Nothobranchius furzeri: one gene and its partner. The protein of the gene in region 1 interacts with the protein of each later gene in a biochemical or structural test. Links are inferred from orthologs where the notes say so. Each region holds a gene or a part of one and is shown on either strand. Other genes may lie near its edges.

The links.
Region 2: the proteins of copa (region 1) and cope form a complex in vitro, tested with the Homo sapiens proteins (3 studies listed by BioGRID, with this or other methods). The link is inferred for Nothobranchius furzeri from reciprocal best matches to the Homo sapiens genes COPA and COPE.

What each region holds. Positions count from the first base shown.
Region 1 is NC_091751.1:41,091,829-41,097,367, forward strand, and holds the start of copa (coatomer subunit alpha), read right to left. Parts: upstream 3,653-5,539; 5' UTR 3,497-3,652; coding exon 3,457-3,496; intron 3,178-3,456; coding exon 3,064-3,177; intron 2,985-3,063; coding exon 2,911-2,984; intron 2,781-2,910; coding exon 2,700-2,780; intron 2,407-2,699; coding exon 2,330-2,406; intron 2,095-2,329; coding exon 1,985-2,094; intron 337-1,984; coding exon 227-336; intron 1-226. UniProt on the Homo sapiens protein: The coatomer is a cytosolic protein complex that binds to dilysine motifs and reversibly associates with Golgi non-clathrin-coated vesicles, which further mediate biosynthetic protein transport from the ER, via the Golgi up to the trans Golgi network.
Region 2 is NC_091748.1:57,727,423-57,732,919, reverse strand, and holds the start of cope (coatomer subunit epsilon), read right to left. Parts: upstream 3,546-5,497; 5' UTR 3,489-3,545; coding exon 3,387-3,488; intron 3,225-3,386; coding exon 3,162-3,224; intron 3,056-3,161; coding exon 2,955-3,055; intron 2,801-2,954; coding exon 2,648-2,800; intron 1,812-2,647; coding exon 1,758-1,811; intron 1,553-1,757; coding exon 1,471-1,552; intron 1,181-1,470; coding exon 1,025-1,180; intron 337-1,024; coding exon 268-336; intron 1-267. UniProt on the Homo sapiens protein: The coatomer is a cytosolic protein complex that binds to dilysine motifs and reversibly associates with Golgi non-clathrin-coated vesicles, which further mediate biosynthetic protein transport from the ER, via the Golgi up to the trans Golgi network.

The sequences.
Region 1 (5,539 bases):
CCAGTTTTGTTGAATATTTTAGCCAAAACTATCAAGAACAGCAATAGCAGAATGAATAAGTTAAAAAATGGAAGCTTCCTTTGAAAACTGAGCTACGAGTTCAAAACCTGCCAGGCACAAAAAATAAAGGACATTTTCCTTTGCTAAGCTGTTTAAAAATGTATTCACTAGATTGAGACGTAAGTCTTAAGAATACTAAATAAGACAAATCAAGTTTGCTGCTCACCTCAAGGACATGCTTCACAACAGCATCCGAGGCGCCAAATAGGTCAACCCCAGTGATGCCGCGCACTTCCGTCTCCACGGCGCCAGGAGACAGGTTCTTCTTCCTCAGACCTGGAACCATCAATTAGAGGGTCGCGTGCAAGGAAGGAAAGCCATGTTCATGTTATACAGAGCACAACCCCAGCAAAGAGGAGGAGGAAGAACACAAAACAAAACATCATTCCACATGATCAAACATGGGGTCAAATCATGTAAAACAAAAGAACAAATTCAGAGTAAAAATAGGACTGTTGGACTACTGAACACACACACATGGGGTTGAAACACACAAACACAACCTTCGTTTCCTCATTAAGATGAATCTGGAAACAATCACCACAGTAGCAGCGCCAGAAGAAATGACTGATTCAACTGAACACCACAGTAGATTTACTGATCATCTCCAGAACTCAGACTAAATCAGGAAGGAAATTTGACAAGAAAACAGTATTGCATTCATGATTTCAGCCCATTGGAAGATTATGTGGTGAACAGATAGCTCAACAGCACTAAGAGGAAGGAAATAGCACTAGGAACCTATGTGCAGGCGTGGATGTTTCCAGGGAAAGCATGGGATATGGATGCCAGTGTGGACTTGGTTGATGGGAGTGGGGTGGGTGGTGGGAAGTGTTGAAAAGACGTGCTCTGATGGGGCGTTTGATGTCTGATTTGAGAACGAGTTTGTCTCCTTGAATGAGCATGCATGTGTCAGTCAAGGTAACTGAGCTGCATGCAAGGTTAATAGAAAATGGCAAGTTAGTTACAAACTAGCAGCAATGCTTGATAATATTATGGTGGCTACAGCCATGTTATAGACTCAGAAGGTGAGCCAATCATGCAAATAATGGGTATTATTTATATACACTTTATGTTTATGTTTATTTATTTAGCAGACACTTTTATCCAAAGCGACTTACAATTTATAACCTATAGGGCATGTTGTGATCTGTGGGGGAAACCGGAGTACCCGGAGGAAACCCACACATGCATGGGGAGAACATGCAACTCCACGCAGAAAGGCCGCAGGCGAGTTTTGAACCTGCAACCTTCGTGCTGCGAGGCAACAGTGCTAACAACTGCACCACTTTAGTAACTGTTCAGTTTTAAAAACGTATTGAACTTGAGAGACAAAACAACAGGGGCCTTCCACTGAATGTGATCTCTCAAAGCAAAATCAGCATGAAGACCTACCGAGGAGAATTGTTACAGCATGCAGTTTAGCATTTATAATGCAGCAATGGATGCAATCAAGCTCAATATATTAACATTATATAAAGCACAAATCCAGCACAAGTGAGGTCACAAGATAAATAAAAAAATGCACATTTTCCATGTTTAAAAATTAAAGAAGATGAGAGCAAAGAAATTGTTCAGTTTGGGTAAAAAAGAAAGAAAGAAGGAAACACATTAAAAGTGTTAAAACCATGCAGAGATACAGAAACACTTCTCCAATTTCACTGGACCATTTTACACTACACTAGATCTTCTCCAGGCCACCATGCAACGTTATCCCTAAATGCAACAACATAAATGTCTCGGTCCTGAAAGGAGAGGTGTTTCTGCAAAGAGCCCACAGAGAATTGTCATCTAGGAGCTGGAGAGAAAGAAGAGGTAAAGGACTTGTATTAGTCCTGTTTCTGCCTCCTTCCACTCTGTACTCAACCCCTTCACCCAAACCCAGCCCACTGTCCACTCTGGTCCTTTCATCCCAGGCCCTCACCGGAGATATCCCACACTCGCACGGTCTGGTCCAGACTGGCAGACACCACCAGGTCTTCAGATGGGTGGAACTGGGCACACATCACGTAGTGATTGTGTCCTGTGAGTACACTGGGTGACACAAAAAGGGAGGGGGAAAGAAAAATCTAACTTTAATGTTTGCAGGGCAGTGAAAGCTGCGAGTCAAAAACTAGAACAGACCTATAGTATAAAAATTCTAATGTCTGAAAAGAGCTCAAAAGCAATTTACTGAGTATTTGAACCCACACTCTTCCCTGTATCGAATCAAATAGCTAAACTATGACTCGACGATTAGTAAAATAATAAAGTGCACCAACTGTCTTACCATACACACGTCCTGGACTGCCAGTTCCAGATGCGGATTGTCTGATCATCAGAGGCACTCAGAATCCAGGGGTATTCCTACAGGTAAAGTGAGTATTTCATGAAAAAAGCCAACATACAACCATCGCAAACATAAAAAAACTTTATGAACCTTCACAAATTTAAGCAAGGTCATTTATTAAAACCCAAATGCAAAGCTGACTCAAGTTGTATCAATCTCTTTACTGTTGTTCTGTTTATGTTTATATTAAAAATCAGGATCAGAACTCTAGATACATATCCAAGGTGTTAAGAGACTTGAATAAAGCTATTAACAATACATCAAGTCACCAAAGATACATTTTAGGACAAAGTGTGACAGTCCAACTCACATGATGAAAGAATGTTGTTCTAATGTAGTCCAGGTGTCCGAGAAGAGTAAAGAGGCAGCGCCTCAGCTTGTAGTTCCACACCTGGTTCAAACAAATTCACTTATTAAACACAAAAACCTAAAAGGTGACAAAGTTTTAAGTATCACAAACACTAATCCACAATCTAACCCAAACATATTTCCTATAATTCCAGTTTTAATAGCAGTCTTACCTTGATTTTATAGTCATCTCCTCCAGACACAAACAGGGGCTGCTGTTTATGGAAATCAATTCCTCGGACGGGGCCTGCAGGTAAAACCACAATTATTTATTTATAAAAAGGTGCGTAATATCAACAAACACGATAGCCACGTCACCGTCTCACCGTCATGTTCATCAAATTTGTCGATCAGTGTGCACATCCGATAGTCCCACAGCTGGATCACACCGTTGTGCAAACTTGCAAGAACCCATGGCCTTTTGGGATGGAAACTCAGGCCTGAAATGTAACATATGCTGGATTAAATATAATAACACACTTTAAGAGCTGGGAACCCAAAATACGTTAACGATAGCTACCCCAAACATATGTGAGCGCAACCGCAAAATGCTAATCATACAGAAAATTGAACGTATGACGAATGTATGTAAATACTTAAATAACAACAGCAAAATATGTTTTAAAAACCATCTCCTTTTATAGAATACATTAATTGATCAGGTTCACGCCAGCTAGCGATGTTAGCTTATGTGCTATTAGTTGTTGGCAAACTCTTACCTTTGACTCGGGCCGACTTCGTTTCAAATTTAGTTAACATTCTCACCGTTTAAGCCCTTCAAACCCTAATATTAAAACTATGGTTAAAACAAAAGTAATCAATGAGAACAAAAAAAAAAATTCAGTGTAAATGACAGGGACGGCCTGGACTCCTTCGCCTGTTTAGCCGATTTCTTTTTCCTGACACGTAGTCCGCTTCTGTCTTCCGGTTATGGACAATAAAGTTTTCCTCTGACGCAGAAAGCTCCACGGCAGCGGCGAATAGAAATAGATCTCATCGAACTGCACCAACAGGCGATCTTGGGAAGTCCCAATGAAAATTGAGTTCAAACTTATAAAGCTGATATAATTCGGTTATATAAATGACAATGGTAAACCCGTTATTGCGAATTATAAATTTAAAAAAAAAAGAAAACTGAGATTTTTCATGAGTCCTCCCGTCCTCCCCGACTTTTTATGTAGATCCGACATTAGGCGCCAGAGAGCTTAACAGCGTCACCGCCATATTGGGTGGGTATAAATATATATATATGTCCGAAAATATATTTAATACATTTATGTTTGCTGGTTTTAGATCTATATTCTGTATTGATTTTTCACGTGGATATGTATATTGACAAATGTGGCCGTTATATTAACACATTTAATTACTGTTACTTTGAATGATAGCAAGACTGGATGCTTGGTGGGTGACTGCCTTGTAAATCATTTAATATATGCAGATGACCTAGTCCTCATGTCTCCCTATAGCGCAGGCCTGCAGCAGCTGCTCAGGGCATGTGCTAAGTATGGTGAGCAATTTGACATACTGTTTAAAGAGTGTGGTTATGATTGCTGCTACTAAAGGGGACCTGAAGCTTAATTTTCCATCTTTTAACTTAACAAATCAGGTCCTCAAAGTGGTAAGCAAAGTAAAATACTTGGGGCACATTTTAAGAAGTGACCTCTGTGATGACGAGGATATTAAGAGGCAATGCGGTAAGTTGTACATGCAGGCTAACACTCTGGCACGTAACTTTGGTATGTGCTCAGATCCTGTTAAAGTGTCCCTCTTTCGTTCCTTTTGTACTCCTTTCTATGCAGCCCACTTGTGGTGCAGCTATAGTAAGGTAGTAATGAAGAAGCTTCAAGTGGCTTATCAGGATGCTTTTAGAATCCTCATGAAGCTCCCTAGATGGACTTCGGCAAGTCATATGTTTGTTATAACATCCCTACTTTTCATGCGCTTCTGAGGCTCTTCATGTATAAATTCATCTGCCGACTGAGTTTGTCAGCTAACGCTGTTGTTAGAGCACTGTCATCTTTAACTTACAGTGACACGAGGTACTCCTCAGTCCTTTTTAAACATTGGAACAACTATATGGTTTTTAATTTGAATGTGTTTTTTACTTCTTTTTTTATTCTTGTTAAGGACATATCCCTTGTCTGAAATAAAGTTTGAATGAATGTATTATTATTAAGGATTTATTGGGGGTTCAATAGCAATGAGTGTCCAAATTGATGTGCAGTAAAGGAATGCACTAAAGCTAATGTGCTTGACTTGCCTTTCATCAATAAATACTAATGCAGGAGTATTCATTACAAATAATCCACAAGACAAAGAAAGTAATATATAATTTTTAATCATTATATTTACAAAACAAAAAGTGTCAATTATGGTTTATTTCATGTTTTTCAGTGCTGTGAGTTTGTGTTGGCCCAGGGCACTGATTAGCCAGAACCCTCACCTGCTGATGAAAACCTTTACAGCCCAACAAAGCTGCATTCAATGTGAATCTGATCTCTTTTTAGTGCATAGCTAAATCCTTTCACAGTACCCCTTTATTGTGCAGTTACTGACGGGTTGACGGTCATGCCACTTCTGGATTTCTCTCTATTGTAACTGAGGTGAACCTTTGCCCATGGGCCACAGCAGCTGATGAAAAGGGGTCACTGAAGTAAACAAACTCTAGCAACTGGAGCCAAAACATAAAAATGCTAACATCAGGCTGTTGATGCATATCCATTCAGAGCATCTGCTTGATTTACAGACATGTTTCTCTCCTTATGTCACACAACGAGATGTTTGCAACTTTGTATCTGA
Region 2 (5,497 bases), on another chromosome or scaffold:
TCAAATGCGAGTCTGATTATCAGGCCTTTATCTGCTGAACTCTGAGTCTCAGGTTGTGTAACTCACACCACTAAACTAGCATGTGTGTCAAAGGGATGATTAAAAACCATTCAAAAACAGATTACTATAGTTGAATGAATGTGTATGTTTCATTTAAGCTTCAAAGGTCACGGGGGAAACAAGTTTGATGTACTTCAGGTGAAGTTTGTTCGACTGATGCATTTTAAAAAGAAAGGGCTTTTAAGGTTTCTGAGTCCAAAGTCTCACCTCAGGAGCTTTACTCAGATGCTGGGTCAGCACTATGAGGTTGATCAGCGTTTCAGGGTGGCTGCTGTCCTGATAGGGAGGAAAAACAGATACAATGTGAGCAGAGCTGGAGGCTTATTTTCATTAAGTTTGTGTAATCTAGACAAGATGAGATAAAATGATCCTAAATGTGTTTTCTGAGGGTAAATCTGAATGAAAATGACCAATTTCCCCCTCTCATCTATACAAGATGTTGAATGAATCTCTGATCCTGTCTAATCCAAATTTCTGCCTCTCAAACAAACGTGAAAATGAGATTATACAAGCGGACAATAACCTCTCTTTATGGAGGCAGTTAACCCTTGGATCATTTATTTATCGAAAAGTCAGAGCTGAAAGTTACACGACACCCTGTTCTGCCTGTACAGTGAGAGAATATCAATGAATAACTGATGCTTTGTAAAAATTAAACTTATCAACACTGACCAACACAAGACACTGCAAAGCTGTAGAGTTTACATTAAAGCACATTTATAAATACTGAGATGAAAAAACGTATATTTACAACCAAACTAAAGATTTATTTATTATATTAATCGAACATTTGGAAATGAGTTTTTTGCTGTGAAATAACTGATTCTTTGCAGGTGAATAAGAGCTTTATTGAACACTAAAGTATGTGCTGCCATCTGCTGGTACACTGACAGACATTCAGTTAATATTCAATAAACCAGTTCCTCTCATCAGATAGGATGAGACAGAACTGCTGTCCTCTAACCTTATCAAGAGCCTCCTGCAACACTCCTTCAGCCTCCTCCCACTTATTCTGCGCCATGTAACAGGCTGCCTGGCCATTAAGCAGCAACAGAGTAGACGAGTACTTGTCACACATCTCTTGGAAAATGTAGTAAGCATCCTGCAGCTTCTCTCCACCCTGGAACAAGGCAATCACAAAAGCAACACGGGTTTATTTATTTTCATCTGAAGCTTGTGGTTTTCAGATGATATTAGTGGTAAAGAACCCTGTTACGTCTGACTTTACTGGATGAGGAGGCATGAATTTGTTTTGTTCCAACTAAATAACAATCACAATATATTAATGCTGACATTTTGTGGTATCACTCTAATAATAATTCTTGCTTCATCAAGAGTTAATAGAACAGCAAATAGTTTGTGGTTGATCATTCACTTATGAATCATACACAATTCATATTTATTTCTTACCACAGCAATATTAACCCAGGCTGTGGCTAGCTGGGTTAGAGTTGCATCCTCGTCTTGCTCCTGCATCTTCTTCAGCTCTTTCCTGTAATAAATAATTAGCAGCAAAATACCTCATTAAACAGCCAAAAGCTAATTTTGACCATTAGGTCATGTAGAAATTAAACAATTTGAGTCATAATGTGCAGATTCTCTGTTAGCCATAATCAAAGCTCATATACAACTAGTAAACAATCTTTAGTGTGTACGTGAAAACACATTTTTGAGGGTGTGAAACAGTTACTCCATACCTCGCCAGGTCAACACGATCCAGACTGAGAAGCACCTGAATGGTCATGGCCATACTGACAAATAAACACAGAATTATGCTCAGTTTGATATTTTTAACCATAAAACAATCCAACCACACATTTAAAAGTTCACAAAATAAAAAGAACAACTCTTGTATTTTTAATTATATTAATCAGAATGCTAAATTTGTAAGCATACATTTTTAATTGCACTTCTTTATCGTTTAACACAAATCCATGAAGCAGCTTTATAAATGTTTACTTTTAACCTATTTTTCTAACAATGTAAGATTAAACTCCAAGAGAATTTCCTAGAATAAACTATGATTTTAAAGACGCTATTCTATTAATATTCTCAATATTTATATAAATGAATATTTATATTCTCTATATTTAAATAGAGCACATAAATATGCTCCATAGTTTTGGAGTAATATGTTAAAATGAAATAACCTTGAATCCTAAGCATCATCCTATTCAGACTTAAAGAGCAAGTCACCCCCCATCAGATTCTTACTCAACTCACTCTTCCTGTTTGAAAAATGCAACAAATGCTGTTGCCTAGCAGAACAAGAGGGCGGAGCCACTAACAAATACACACTCACGACATTGTGACATCATAATCTACCATCTAACATCATAGTGTACCTCTTATCCATAGAGATGGCAGATTTAAATTAAAATGTAGTGCGAGTTTTTAGCTGACGATGGTGCATCACTGACAGGTTTAAGCAGAATATTTAAATTTGAACTAAGATGCACTAAAGTGCCGAATTATTGACTACATTTGTCTACAGCCCAATCACTCATTTATATAGTTTATCAGCAAAAAAAAAAATGGTGATTTGGCGTGGCTTGCTCTTTAAACATAAATCTGGATTCCCCCTTACCACTCCAGACTTTCTCCTTGATGAAGCGTTCTGAGAGCAGCATCAGAGTTGGTCTCATGGTGGTAGATGGAGGCCGCCATGAGCAGGAAGGTGGTGTTGGCAGCATCCACACTCTTTGACATCTTTTTGTCCAAATCAGCAACAATAACATCCCTGAACAAACATAATAAGTAAAAATATACTCAAGAGATGAATTTGTAAATCAACTGGAACAGCAATTTTTACACAAAAGGGTGAGGTTAACTAATATAAATAGTTTGTGTTGCTAGGGGCAAAATGAATGAGCATTGTGTAAGCATGCTTGTACCTTTTGCTTTCATTGGACAAATACTCTGCAAACATCCTCACAGCTTGCAGCTCAGGTGGAGAGCTGGCCTTGATGTCATCCAGAACAACAGCATACTTCCTCTGTAACAAAGAAATACAAAACCTCCGGTGAGAGGGTGAATTTTTGTCTGTCAGCAATAACGTCCACTGCCTCTTCAGATCAGGCTGATCCCCCACCAACACGTACCTGAGCAATGTAGGCTCTGTACAAAAACATGTCCCTTTCGATGTCCTTCTCTGGTGACGAAGGCTTTAAAAACCAAACACAAGACGTAAGTACCAAAATCAGTAACAAGAATATTAAGAGTAGTCGTTGTTGTTAGCCCATTAGCTCAATTGCTCTGTTAACCACACTGACAGATAAATAACGCGACAAAACGAGCGTTTAAATAAATGGAAATGCGTCACTTACCTTCACTTTCTGAGCTTCGTTAATACATTGCTGGTAACTACCGATATAATAAGCATTTTTCACATCGAACAGTTCATCAACATCACCCTGTTGCGCCGCCATGTTGGCTAATGAGCTTCCGGACACGTCGCAAAGCTACGTAGGCTTCCTGCTTTTTTACAAAGGATTCTGGGAAATGCTGTTCAGAAAACAAAAATAACTAAGAACCGAAAATGACATGAAGAAAATATTTGTCCCCTCTTAATGTGGACTCGGCGCGTTATCTATTCATGTATAATGTTTAAACTAGGCGTTATCTATTCATGGATAATGTTTAAATTATTTTATACTTGTATTGCAGAGTTATACTGGGCACAAATTATGTTAAAATTAACTTTAAAATATATTTTAAGTAAATATTTTTGTCGTCCTATATTTCTAATTAGTGTGTTATTAATTGTTATTAATTCAAAGGAATCAAGTTCAAACACTGCAAAAAAAAAAAGCTGAACGAAGCCATTTTGACTTATCGCGTTTAACCACAAGAGGGCGCTTCAAGATAGATAGATAGATATAGATGATAGATAGATAGATAGATAGATAGATAGATAGATAGATAGATAGATAGATAGATAGATAGATAGATAGATAGATAGATAGATAGATAGATAGATAGATAGATAGATAGATAGATAGATACTTGTGTTTCAATTTTGGAGCTGATGATTTAATGATCTGGCCCATTTATCAGATCTAAAAAAAGTGATGTGTGAACAATAAAATAAGGATATGACATAGGGAATTTCCGCCAGCCTCATTAAACTGCTGTTAAAAAACTTCCCATGCCTTGAAAACACCCGGAGATATGTACTTTCCTTTTTGTTTTAGCCAGGAGTAATAGTTAATAGGCATGCTCTCATTAAATGCTCTATTTTGTCAGATATTTACAAATATAAGTAAAAGTGCCAAAAAAATGTCACAAAAATGAACGGGCCACATGTTTGCTGGTGATTTAGAAACTGCTCCCCACGGTTCCTGTTCATTGTTCCCTTAGCATCATTTCCTCAGGGAAATCTTCATCCGTGGGATTCGGACCTGGACGAGAATAATTACTGGAAACCCCAACGGGGGCAGTGGGTGTGCTGGACCTAAAGAGCCTTTTACTTTGGGCGTGTTTGGGCTGTTCTGCTCCTCTCGTTGCTCTTTCATTGGTTCAGAACGACATCAAGTTTGAAACTTTTTTTCTGACCAAGTAGGCGGGGGGAGTCTGGTTACGCCAACAGAAAACTTGTAACCGATCTCAGAGTGTCCGCGAGACGAAAACACTCTTAATAATTCACACTTCTGCGCCTGGTTGCAGAACAAAAGAGCAGCGGAGAACTGCTTTTGTATAGTGGATATTCGGCGAACAAAAGTAACGTTAGTGGGGTGAATATGTTGTAAAACCACTTCCTCTGTGGCAAGGATGAAGAAGTCTTGAGTGACTTTGCTCTGATTAATTTGTCAACTTTTGCTGGCGGATCGCTCCCGTGGCTCGGTGAACCGTAGAGAAAGGTGAGTTCATGTTCCCGGTGATATTAGCGGTTCACGGGTTTTTTAAATTAAACTTCTTCTCAAACTTTAACGAACAAAGATTTGTTGTCAAGGAGGGGGGCTGAACTCACGCCACCTCCGAGTAATTCAGTACGAGGCTGCTGCAGCAACGTTTCCGAGAGGTTAACGGTGGGTGTTAATGAGACTAGCTTAATTTGAGGGACGCCATGTTCACCTAACGGAAATTGGTCAAACACATAAAAACGACCCGCTGCTAAATTTCCCGAGATTAGCATTTAAACGACTGTTCTGATCGATTTAAATTATAATAAAAGAAGATACTGTGGAGTAATTATTTTTAACTATGTGATCTATACTTAAAGCTGGTCCATTCCCCCTGTTTACCACATATTTACTTATTTTCGAACTTATTCAAATGAGACCTGGTGATAAACCTCAGAACAAGATATCCCATCCCTTCAACGTTTGATATCCCAATTGAACTGTTCTGTAATAGTGTGGAACGTAAAGCAATGCACTTAATAAAGTAATGCAACATTTCATTTATTCATTTAAACATTTTTGAGTGATTGTCATGA